Drosophila melanogaster: one gene and its partner. The protein of the gene in region 1 interacts with the protein of each later gene in a pairwise test. Each region holds a gene or a part of one and is shown on either strand. Other genes may lie near its edges.

What was found. The genes of interacting proteins can lie anywhere in the genome.
Region 2: the proteins of Spt6 (region 1) and Neu2 interact in a two-hybrid assay, tested with the Drosophila melanogaster proteins (one large-scale study listed by BioGRID).

The regions. Positions count from the first base shown.
Region 1 is NC_004354.4:6,266,181-6,273,841, forward strand, and holds the start of Spt6 (Spt6), read left to right. Parts: upstream 1-1,616; 5' UTR 1,617-1,726; coding exon 1,727-1,765; intron 1,766-1,926; coding exon 1,927-2,011; intron 2,012-2,586; coding exon 2,587-2,792; intron 2,793-2,944; coding exon 2,945-3,064; intron 3,065-3,133; coding exon 3,134-3,285; intron 3,286-3,350; coding exon 3,351-7,661. Other genes in the region: schlank, read right to left, coding at 227-411. UniProt on the Drosophila melanogaster protein: Histone H3-H4 chaperone that plays a role in maintenance of chromatin structure during RNA polymerase II transcription elongation.
Region 2 is NT_037436.4:21,488,330-21,492,601, reverse strand, and holds Neu2 (Neuroectoderm-expressed 2), read left to right. Parts: upstream 1-2,015; 5' UTR 2,016-2,122; intron 2,123-2,551; 5' UTR 2,552-2,600; coding exon 2,601-3,749; 3' UTR 3,750-3,752; downstream 3,753-4,272. Other genes in the region: CG7202 (uncharacterized protein), read left to right, coding at 1-25, 415-1,154.

The sequences.
Region 1 (7,661 bases):
ATGAATAAAGTTTACTGTACATGGTGCAACAAACGTGGGGCGGTGGGCTTACTCAATGGTAAGGAGAGCGAGAAAGAGCGGGAGAGAGCGAGGGAAAGCCGTATGAATGGGGTTAGAGAAAGAGGCGGAATGGAATCATGTTGCCGGGAATGGCGAGAATGGAAAGGGAGTCAGTCAGTTGGTTGGGAAGAGTGCGGAGGGGGGAAAATGGACGTGGAAAACTTACCGCTCCAGCGTGTAGCGGACCAGCATGACAACAGCGGCGAATGGAATGGGCCATATGAGGTCCTTGTAGTTGGCGTGCACCACATCTGGACGCGAGCCGGGCGCAATGTCCGCCCAGGTTGTGTTCGGCGGCAGCCAAATGTGCGTACTCCAGAATACATTGCTGAACTCATTCAATATGTCCATGTTGCTGCTTCAGTTGCCGCTTCTTAATTTCTCAATTGTTTGTTTTCTTTTTCTTGGTTTTCCTTTGCTTAGCTTTCCAGTTTTTCCTTGGCGTTTGTTGTCACATATGTATATGCTTTGCTTTTTCTAAATATTCGCAATTGTATGAGCCTGTGTTATTGTGCCTTGCGAACAACAGCAACAATAACAGCAAGAACAACAATAAGCGACAACAACAGCAACAAGAACAACAACAGGAGCACCGGACACTAATGCACACTCACAGCGTAGCACAAACACACACTGGCAAAAAAACAAAAACCGCCGAATCGAATTGTTGTTGTCTTGTCTCGTTAACTTGCGCTTATGGCTTTTCTAATTCTACTTCTATTTCTATTTGGATTTCGATTTAATTCGTTTTTGGAAATGCTACCTTTGCCGTTTGTTTGGGAGCGTAAATGAAGTGAAGTTCCCTGACAATCTGTTCTCGACCAAAGCAATAGACTTTCTGAATTTCGGCTCGGTGTCGAGTCGGCCGCCGCTCGTTTCGTCCACTTAAACTTTCAGGATGAACGAAAAAAAATACTAATAGTATTTCCTCGTCGAGCAACAACAATACAGTGTGCCCAGAGACGGCGGAGCAGTAAATGTAACTGCAGCGCGACAAGTGTGCCCGTGTACGGGAAGACAAGGAAAGCCAGCAAAAATAAGGCTTTAGAAGCTACACAAAATACCAAATGCACTAATAATTTTAAAGAACTTTTAATTCACAAGTTTGCGAATTTTGTTTATTGCTTATTATTATTATTGTTCATTACGTTTACCACTAGTTTTTGAGAGAAATTATTATGCGCTACAATTAGTGTTGGTTTTTCGGTAAGAACTCATAAAAGTCAACTATGTAAAGGAAGTATGCCATGGACTATAATGGAAATTAGCAAACTTCATCGTTGAGACCAAAGGGCATATGTGTGTTCCCATATAGGGGAATTTTCCCGCTTATCAATACAAGTATGTGTGCAAAATTCTTGTCCAATTGTTGTCAGCACATGAAAACGGATAACTAACCATAGGTTATAGGAAGGATCCACTGTAGTTCTGCAATGCAAACCAGGGCTGGCAGCGAGAACACTGCTGTAAGCTAACAGCAAACTGTACTGTAAACAGTAGAAAACTGTTCGTGGTATTTAGTATTTAGCTAGTATTTTAATACCAACTTTTGTGCAATGCGATGAGAAATAAAGAAGAAGAGAAGAGGAAGAAACGCTCACAAACTCTTCGTTTCTCTGCATTAATACGCACTTTATTATTAAGTTAAGCTTTATTCCATTATATTATGGCCGAATTTCTGGACTCCGAGGCCGAGGAATCGGAGGTAGGTGTCTGCGGAACCCCAAAAACACTATTTCTAGAAGCGCGTACCGTTCGTGCGTCGTTATGTGTGCGGTGTGCGTTGCGCCTTGCGTGTGTGTACATACATATGTGCCTACATATATATTGAATTAACCAAATGGCTTTTCTTCGTTTTTCCCGCAGGAGGAGGAAGAATTGGACGTCAACGAGCGCAAGAGACTCAAGAAACTGAAGGCGGCCGTCTCCGATAGTAGCGAAGAAGAAGAAGGTGAGTTTTTCCACTGGAGCCGCTGAAGGCGCGTACAAATACATACATACATACATACGTATGTGGCGATCTCTGGCGGGTTTTTCACCCCTCTCACCATCCATCGATCGGAACAGTCCATATCCGGGATAAAGGCACCTATAACTGGCCAATGCCACACGCTTGCAACTTCTTTTGTTTACAACTTTGAGGTTAGGTCTTGTGTTTTTACCGTGCTACCGTGGCCATCAAATATCAGCATCAGCAGTAGCAATAGCAGCAGCAACAACAACAAACAGCTGCGCTCGTTCCAGTAAATAAAACAAGTGCGGCGAATTGGAAGAACGCGGCGTATTCCAAGAAATTGCAAATCAAAGCAGGGAGGGAGAATTAGTTCAATAGATGGAGCTGGAATAATCAATGGTTAGGGCTTATCTATATCGAAATCTAGGTAATTTATCAAATGTAGGTCTTTCTCAAAACCGGGTGAATTACTTAAATTTAAGCTTTAAAAACAGTTTTCAGTTGCATATGTATATCTGCGGCTACAATGAAGGTAAAAGGTAAACCGATATTCTTATTGCCCTATTCCGTAGACGACGAGGAACGGCTGCGCGAAGAGCTCAAAGATCTGATCGACGACAATCCCATCGAGGAGGACGATGGCAGTGGTTACGATTCCGATGGCGTCGGCAGCGGCAAGAAGCGCAAAAAGCACGAGGACGACGATCTGGACGATCGACTGGAGGACGACGACTACGATCTTATCGAGGAGAATCTGGGCGTCAAAGTCGAGAGACGGGTAGGTGTTCCCTTCAGGGAAGAACTATGTACTTTTTAAACTCCAATTGTGGCTCCAATTTCGAAGCTTAACTAACAAAGAATAACATAGCTGAGGGATTGGGGCTTCTATCTCCTCAAATATATTGTTTGAAATTATGTTTTCCCTTGTAGAAGCGGTTCAAGCGTCTGCGTCGCATCCACGACAACGAAAGCGATGGCGAGGAGCAGCACGTGGACGAGGGTCTGGTGCGTGAGCAGATTGCCGAGCAGTTGTTCGACGAGAACGATGAGGTATGCCACTAGTAATCCCTGACCACCAATTAATGCACAGTGTCCAACTGATTGCCCCTGATCCTACAGAGCATTGGTCATCGCAGCGAGCGCAGTCACAGGGAGGCGGACGACTACGACGACGTGGATACGGAGTCGGACGCAGATGACTTCATTGTGGACGATAATGGGCGTCCCATAGCCGAGAAGAAGAAGAAACGGCGCCCCATCTTTACAGACGCGTAAGTATACAAACTATAATAAAGTTTAGATATCAATAGATACGATTAATATAATCCAACCACAGATCACTTCAAGAGGGTCAGGACATCTTTGGCGTAGACTTCGACTATGACGACTTCTCAAAGTACGAGGAAGACGACTACGAAGATGACTCGGAAGGAGATGAGTACGATGAGGATCTGGGCGTCGGCGATGATACGCGCGTCAAGAAGAAGAAAGCGCTCAAAAAGAAGGTGGTCAAGAAGACAATCTTCGACATATACGAGCCCAGCGAGCTCAAGCGTGGTCATTTCACCGATATGGACAACGAGATTCGCAAGACAGACATCCCAGAAAGAATGCAGCTGCGAGAGGTGCCCGTAACCCCGGTGCCCGAGGGATCAGACGAGCTGGACCTCGAGGCTGAATGGATCTACAAATATGCCTTCTGCAAGCACACTGTTTCGGAACAGGAAAAGCCGGAGAGCCGCGAGAAAATGCGCAAACCACCGACAACCGTTAACAAGATTAAGCAGACGCTAGAATTTATACGCAACCAGCAGTTGGAGGTGCCCTTTATAGCCTTCTATCGCAAGGAGTATGTGAAGCCAGAGCTTAATATCGACGATCTCTGGAAGGTTTACTACTACGATGGGATCTGGTGTCAGCTAAACGAGCGAAAGCGCAAGCTAAAGGTGCTTTTCGAAAAGATGCGTCAGTTCCAGCTGGACACGCTATGCGCCGACACAGATCAACCCGTACCGGATGATGTTCGCCTCATCCTGGACAGCGATTTCGAGCGCCTCGCCGACGTACAGTCGATGGAGGAGCTAAAGGACGTGCACATGTACTTTCTGCTGAACTATTCGCATGAGCTGCCCCGCATGCAGGCGGAGCAGCGACGAAAAGCTATACAGGAGCGTCGCGAGGCCAAGGCGCGTCGCCAGGCAGCCGCCGCTGAGAACGGTGATGATGCGGCCGAGGCGATAGTTGTACCAGAGCCGGAAGACGATGACGATCCCGAGCTGATCGATTACCAACTAAAGCAGGCGTCCAACAGCAGTCCCTATGCGGTATTCCGCAAGGCGGGCATCTGCGGCTTTGCCAAACACTTTGGTCTCACGCCGGAGCAGTATGCCGAAAATCTGCGCGACAATTACCAGCGCAATGAGATCACCCAGGAAAGCATCGGTCCCACAGAGCTGGCCAAGCAATATTTGTCGCCGCGCTTCATGACCACGGATGAGGTTATCCATGCCGCAAAATACGTTGTGGCCCGACAGCTGGCACAAGAGCCTCTGCTGCGCAAGACCATGCGTGAGGTGTATTTCGACAGAGCTAGGATTAACATACGGCCCACCAAGAATGGCATGGTGCTGATCGATGAGAATTCGCCGGTGTATTCGATGAAGTACGTGGCCAAGAAGCCGGTAAGCGATCTATTTGGCGATCAATTCATAAAGCTAATGATGGCCGAGGAGGAGAAGCTGCTGGAGATAACGTTCCTCGAGGAGTTCGAGGGCAATGCGTGTGCCAACGGAACACCCGGTGACTATGTGGAAGAGTCCAAGGCCCTGTACCAGCTGGATCAGTTTGCCAAGCACGTGCAGGAGTGGAATAAGCTGCGGGCGGAATGCGTACAGCTGGCGCTGCAGAAGTGGGTCATTCCGGATCTGATCAAGGAGCTGCGCTCAACTCTGCACGAGGAGGCTCAGCAATTTGTGCTGCGTTCCTGCACGGGTAAGCTGTATAAGTGGCTAAAGGTGGCACCCTATAAACCGCAACTGCCCCCCGACTTTGGCTACGAGGAGTGGAGCACGCTGAGGGGCATACGGGTGCTGGGTCTGGCCTACGATCCCGATCACTCAGTGGCCGCTTTCTGTGCGGTGACTACCGTGGAGGGCGACATCTCCGACTACCTGCGACTGCCGAACATTCTGAAGCGCAAGAATTCTTACAACCTTGAGGAGAAGGCCCAGAAGTTGGCCGACCTTCGAAAGCTGAGTGACTTTATCAAAATGAAGAAGCCACACATTGTTGTCATCGGAGCGGAATCGCGCGATGCCCAGAACATCCAGGCAGACATTAAGGAGATTCTGCATGAACTCGAGACCTCCGAACAATTTCCGCCCATCGAGGTGGAGATAATCGACAACGAGCTGGCCAAGATCTATGCCAACTCGAAGAAGGGCGAGTCTGACTTTAAGGAGTATCCTCCTCTGCTGAAGCAGGCTGCTTCGCTGGCCCGCAAGATGCAGGATCCGCTAGTGGAATACTCACAGCTGTGTGATGCGGACGACGAGATTCTCTGCCTGCGCTACCATCCGCTACAGGAGCGTGTGCCGCGCGAACAGCTGCTGGAGCAGCTCAGCCTGCAGTTTATCAATCGAACGAGCGAGGTGGGTCTGGACATTAACCTGATGGTGCAGAACTCACGGACCATCAACCTGCTGCAGTACATCTGTGGCTTGGGTCCGCGCAAGGGTCAGGCTTTACTTAAACTTCTTAAGCAGAGCAACCAGCGGTTGGAGAACCGCACCCAGCTGGTCACCGTGTGTCATCTGGGGCCCAGGGTCTTTATCAACTGCAGCGGTTTCATTAAGATCGATACCTCATCGCTGGGCGACAGCACAGAGGCGTATGTCGAGGTGCTGGACGGGTCGCGTGTGCATCCAGAAACGTACGAGTGGGCCAGAAAGATGGCCATCGATGCCATGGAGTACGACGACGAGGAGACCAATCCGGCCGGTGCCCTTGAGGAAATTCTCGAGTCGCCAGAGCGCCTTAAGGATCTCGATCTGGACGCATTCGCTGTGGAACTGGAGCGCCAGGGATTCGGCAGCAAGAGCATAACCTTGTACGACATAAGGAACGAGTTGAGCTGCCTGTACAAGGACTACCGCACTCCGTACACAAAGCCCAGTGCGGAGGAGCTCTTCGATATGCTGACCAAGGAGACGCCCGACTCGTTTTATGTGGGCAAGTGCGTCACGGCCATGGTCACCGGTTTCACCTACCGTCGGCCGCAGGGCGATCAGCTAGACAGCGCAAATCCGGTGCGTCTAGATTCCAACGAAAGCTGGCAGTGCCCCTTCTGCCACAAGGACGACTTCCCAGAGCTGTCCGAGGTGTGGAATCACTTTGACGCGAACGCGTGCCCTGGCCAGCCATCTGGTGTGCGTGTGCGTCTGGAGAACGGCCTGCCTGGCTTTATACACATCAAGAACTTGTCCGATAGACAGGTTCGCAATCCCGAAGAACGTGTGCGCGTCTCACAGATGATTCATGTTCGCATCATTAAGATAGACATTGACCGGTTCTCAGTCGAATGCTCTTCGAGGACCGCTGATCTTAAGGATGTGAACAATGAGTGGCGGCCGCGTCGCGACAACTACTATGATTATGTGACTGAGGAGCAGGACAATCGGAAAGTGAGCGATGCCAAGGCCAGGGCTCTGAAGCGCAAAATTTACGCGCGTCGCGTAATCGCCCATCCCAGCTTCTTCAACAAGTCGTACGCGGAGGTGGTGGCCATGCTAGCGGAGGCCGATCAGGGCGAGGTGGCCCTGCGTCCGAGCAGCAAGTCCAAGGACCATCTGACAGCCACCTGGAAGGTGGCCGACGACATCTTCCAGCACATCGATGTGCGCGAGGAGGGTAAAGAGAACGATTTCAGCCTGGGCAGAAGTCTGTGGATCGGCACCGAGGAGTTCGAGGATCTGGACGAGATCATCGCCCGCCACATCATGCCGATGGCCTTGGCTGCCCGCGAACTGATACAGTACAAGTACTACAAGCCAAACATGGTGACCGGCGATGAAAATGAACGGGATGTCATGGAAAAGTTGCTGCGCGAGGAGAAGGCAAATGATCCGAAGAAGATACACTACTTTTTTACGGCCTCACGCGCCATGCCGGGCAAGTTCCTGCTGTCCTATCTGCCCAAGACGAAGGTGCGTCACGAGTATGTGACGGTCATGCCGGAGGGCTATCGTTTCCGTGGCCAGATTTTCGATACGGTTAACAGTCTGCTGCGTTGGTTTAAGGAACACTGGCTGGATCCAACGGCCACGCCGGCCAGCGCCTCGGCGTCCAACTTAACGCCACTGCACTTGATGCGTCCGCCGCCGACGATCTCGTCGTCATCCCAGACCTCCTTGGGCCCCCAGGCGCCCTACAGCGTCACTGGCAGCGTGACTGGTGGAACGCCGCGCAGTGGCATCAGCAGTGCCGTCGGCGGTGGCGGTTCCAGCGCCTACTCCATTACGCAATCCATCACTGGCTACGGCACGTCGGGCAGTTCTGCTCCAGGGGCTGGAGTATCTTCCTCCCACTATGGCAGCTCATCGACGCCGTCGTTTGGCGCCATCAATACGCCATACACGCCCAGTGGACA
Region 2 (4,272 bases), on another chromosome or scaffold:
GATTTCCGAGTCGAATTATACACAGGTGAGGATGTCCATTGTTGTTTTGAGTTAAGTGAAGAAATGGTGGTTGAATCCAACACTACACTTATGATTTTTTAATCACTCTTAAAAGTGATCCTTTTAAAGCCGGATACATTAGAAGTTAATGTCTATATTATTTTAATCGTTATTTGTGGTATTAAAGGGTATTCGAGATTTGATTTAACATATGAAATAGATATCAGACATTAAGTATATGTATTAATCTTTCTTAAGATCACTTGCCAGTGATCTGGCCATGTCCGTCTTTCCGTCCGACTGAACGTAGATACCTAGAAAAGTTGATGTAATTTGGTGTTCCAAATACTTATCGACCCTTAAAGTTTTTCACAAAGTTGTTATTTACCTTTTGCCTTTTATTCACTTGTACAGAGCGTCCTGGGATTACGTTTGAGCCGCAGCTGTGCCACAGTCCCTCAGAGCAGAGTAGCTCCGACAGCTCCGACAGCACCTACCAGTTTGCGACGAGCTTCGGCGTGATCTTTGCCCTGACCTTTGGTCTGTCCAAGCTGCTCCAACTGGCGGAGCTGCAGGCCAAAAGGTATTTCAAGAGCAAAAAGGCGCTGCATCCCAAATCTGCTGCCAAAGTGCAGGACCCAGTTGTTGAGCAGAAGGCGCCAAGCCAGCAGGACGATTCGAATCCCTTCGATCTCCTGCAGGACCACAATGAAAATCTGAAGGAGCAGCTCAGTATCCTGCAGTTGCAGTGTCTGGAAATGCGCGAACTTCTGCACGAGCTGGATATCAGCAGTAGCTCCAGTAGCTATGGAAGTGTCAGATCCGGAAACCGGGTAGCAATGGCCAAGTCCTCCGAAGAATCAATGGTGGTGTGGAGGCGATCGGACTCCCTGACCGGTACGGTCTCCGGCTCATTGCACGCCGAAAAGGTCAACTCCCCCTCCACACAAAACATCTACATTACCAACAGCCACTTCCACATCAACGGACAGGTCTACCTGACCGAGAACCACGTGAACGTCGAGCTCACCCAGAACGCTTCTTTGTTCGGTCGGGGGCAGAGCGAGTTCCTGCAGGTGGCGGGAAGGTTCATCTCCGGACCAAAGAAGATGCCCATGTTAACGGGCATGCGGTGCCACAACATCCTCATATGAGGAGTCTTCAAAATCATCCATTTCACTCGGAATAAACAATGTTACTAGCAATTCAACGACGTTTATCTTTAGTAGTTGGTAATACAAGGGAAATGGTTCCATAGAAAAAGGGCATCGCATCAAATAAGGCTTGCTCGACTATAGGTTACTTTCTAGTTTTATTATTGTAGTTGATTTAACATAAATGTTTTTAAAAACTTTGGGGTTCGAGTGTTTTAATGTCATCAAGAAAAGGAATTTAAGGAATAATTCTAGCACATTATCTATAAAGGCAATAATCGCTTACTCCTTTTGATTTACAAAGTTATTAATAATGTACATATGTACTTAATTAACACCAGAAATCGATGCCATTTACTTTGTTTTAGTCTTGTATTTAAAATTGAATTATTCGTTTTTTTGTACTGTATGTTTTTTATTGAATAATTTGCTACTAGAATGATTCCGCCATGGGGTATATTGGGAATAGAAGGGTATGGCTAGCTTTATTGGTCATTGGGTAAATGGTTTTCCCCTGTTTTCCACCACCCCAATAAGTATATTTCGTTACAAACACATGGTTTTAGAGTTCAGCAATAATGATTTAGCACTTTGGGGTCGACCAAGGAAAGATTTTTTCTTTAACCATAGTTACTTTTACCTGCATGTATCACATTATGCATTGACCTGCTTGGATCTACAGAAAATCGTAAGATTAGTTGGGACGCACCGTAAAAAGATGAGTGCAGCTGCTGGAAAGCCCTTCTTTGATGACACCTGACCCAGGTAACATTGTTAAATATGCTATGTTGCCCATTTTACAGAACCAAACGACCTTGGGACATGTTTGTATATAAGCCTTACGACTTACCTATTCACTTCAGAAGGAGTACAACCCTTGTCATAGCAACATCTTTACAGATTGCCAATTCCTGTGCTTATTGCCACATTTTAAATACGCATTCGCCGTGAACAAACACGAAAATAAGGTAAGTTTAAGGTAAGGATTGCCATTGTGGGTCAATTCGTGCCGAGTTAGCAAAGTCATAAATAAACCAAGATGTATTTGGAAATTAGTGCAATTTATGTTTAAAGCTCTACACAAGTATTAAATTTCATTGATTATTAAATATAAGAAAGAGTGCAGAGGGTTCTTTTTGATGCTATGCAACTAAAAGATGACGTTTGTCACTGACCTTATAAAGTGTATGTGTCATCCATGACTACGATCTAGTCGTACCTATTCTGTCCGTTTGTTTGAAAGTTGAGATCTCAGTGTATTTAGCATTCAGGATGTAGATTCCAGAAACGCTAATACTCAAAGATCTGGGAATAACCATTATACTTTTTTGAAACCGTTTAAGTGCACGATTTTGTATATTCGCAATTTTATATTCACACAGTTCGTGTCATTTCAGATCGATGGAATCGTCAATATGCCGAGTTTGCCTGGTCAGTTACGAAAATATGGCCAGTGTTTTCGATGAGTCTCATGAACCGGGCCTATCCATTGCGTACATAATATACAAGTGCACCGGCTGGCAAGTTGAGAAGCACGATCCACTGTCCAACACCATATGCAAGTCCTGTCTGGAGGATGCGCAGAATGCATTCGATATCATAGAAACGTACGAGAGAAGTCACCAGTTTTACCGCTTCCTCAAGGATGTACGGGAGGAGGAGAGTGAAAATGATGGATCCGGATGCTCAGAAGAAGTGGAGGCAGCTGAGAGGGATCTCCAGGATGGTGCCGACGACGTCGATTCCGGCAATGAACCTGATATTAACGAATGTGATATCAAGGCCAAGGAGAAACCAGGCTTTAGCTGTTCTCACTGCCCTAAATCTTTTCAAGTAAAATCAAATCTGAAGGTACACATGCGTTCACACACAGGAGAACGTCCCTTCACGTGTTCCCTCTGCCCCAAGTCCTTTGGCTATAGCTCTGGTCTTCAGAATCACATGCGAACCCACACAGGAGAACGACCCTTCCAGTGCTCGCATTGCCCAAGGTCCTTTACAGCTGGGCACCACCTCAAGGCCCACATACAGATGCACGAAAGAAGAGGATCGTTAAGGTGCCCATACTGCCAAAAGTGCTTTCTAACTTCTTTAATTCTCAAGCAGCATTTGGCCACGCACACTGATGAAACGCAGTTCAAGTGTTCCCAGTGCTCGAAGTCCTTTCAAGTCGAACATGAACTTTGGATGCACATGCGAGTGCACCAAGAACGCCTCTTTACTTGTGGCCATTGCTCAAAGGACTTTGCGCTACATGCGTATCTCAAGCGACACCTGTCAAGGAACGCGAGATGCTCTCAAAGCTCAAAAGCATCTGCTCACAAAACACTAGGCCACTCAAAGGCACTTAAGTGTGGTAAGTGCCCAAAAACTTTCACTGACCGTTCGGCTCTGTCCACTCACTTGAAATCACACACCAAAAATAAGCCATTGCTCGAAGGTCCTTGCAAATCTTCAGGATCTAAGCCGGCACATAGTAACGCACAAAGAAAACCGTTTAAGTGTTCCAGCTGCCCAAGGACTTTTTCGCGGAAATCCGCACTGCTAACACACTTGCAAACCCACACAGGAAAACTGGGCACAAATCGCATGTAGAAGAAAGAACCGTTTGAGAAGGCTAAAAGAATTCGATTCTTTTTTTTTTTTTGTTCGCACGGGTCCTACGTCCACACCTCCCGCCCAACCGACCGAGGGGCGCTGCCGTGTATCGTACGGCTCGATTCGCGAGAAGATATAGACGCGATATAAAAAAGAGAACAGGAACGAGGAAATGAATATAATGTAAAATAACTATATTAAATATTACTGTTAGTAGGATCTAATTATGTAATAAAAAAGTTAAAATCGATTGCTTTAAGAGCGGCAGAGAGTTAAGTCTATTATAGTCAGAACATAAAACTCTGTAAGGGTCATGCAACTCATAGTTAGATCTACAATGATTTAAGATAAGGGGTATATAGTTTCTAGTGAATCTACTTGGAACCGAAAAGTTAAGCCGACTAATAAAGTCGGGACTCTCAACATCCCCACGAATAAGCTTACAAATAAAGACTGTTCCAAGCATAGTTCTACGGTTAGCTAGGGACGGTAAATTAATTAAAGGAAGTCTACTAATATA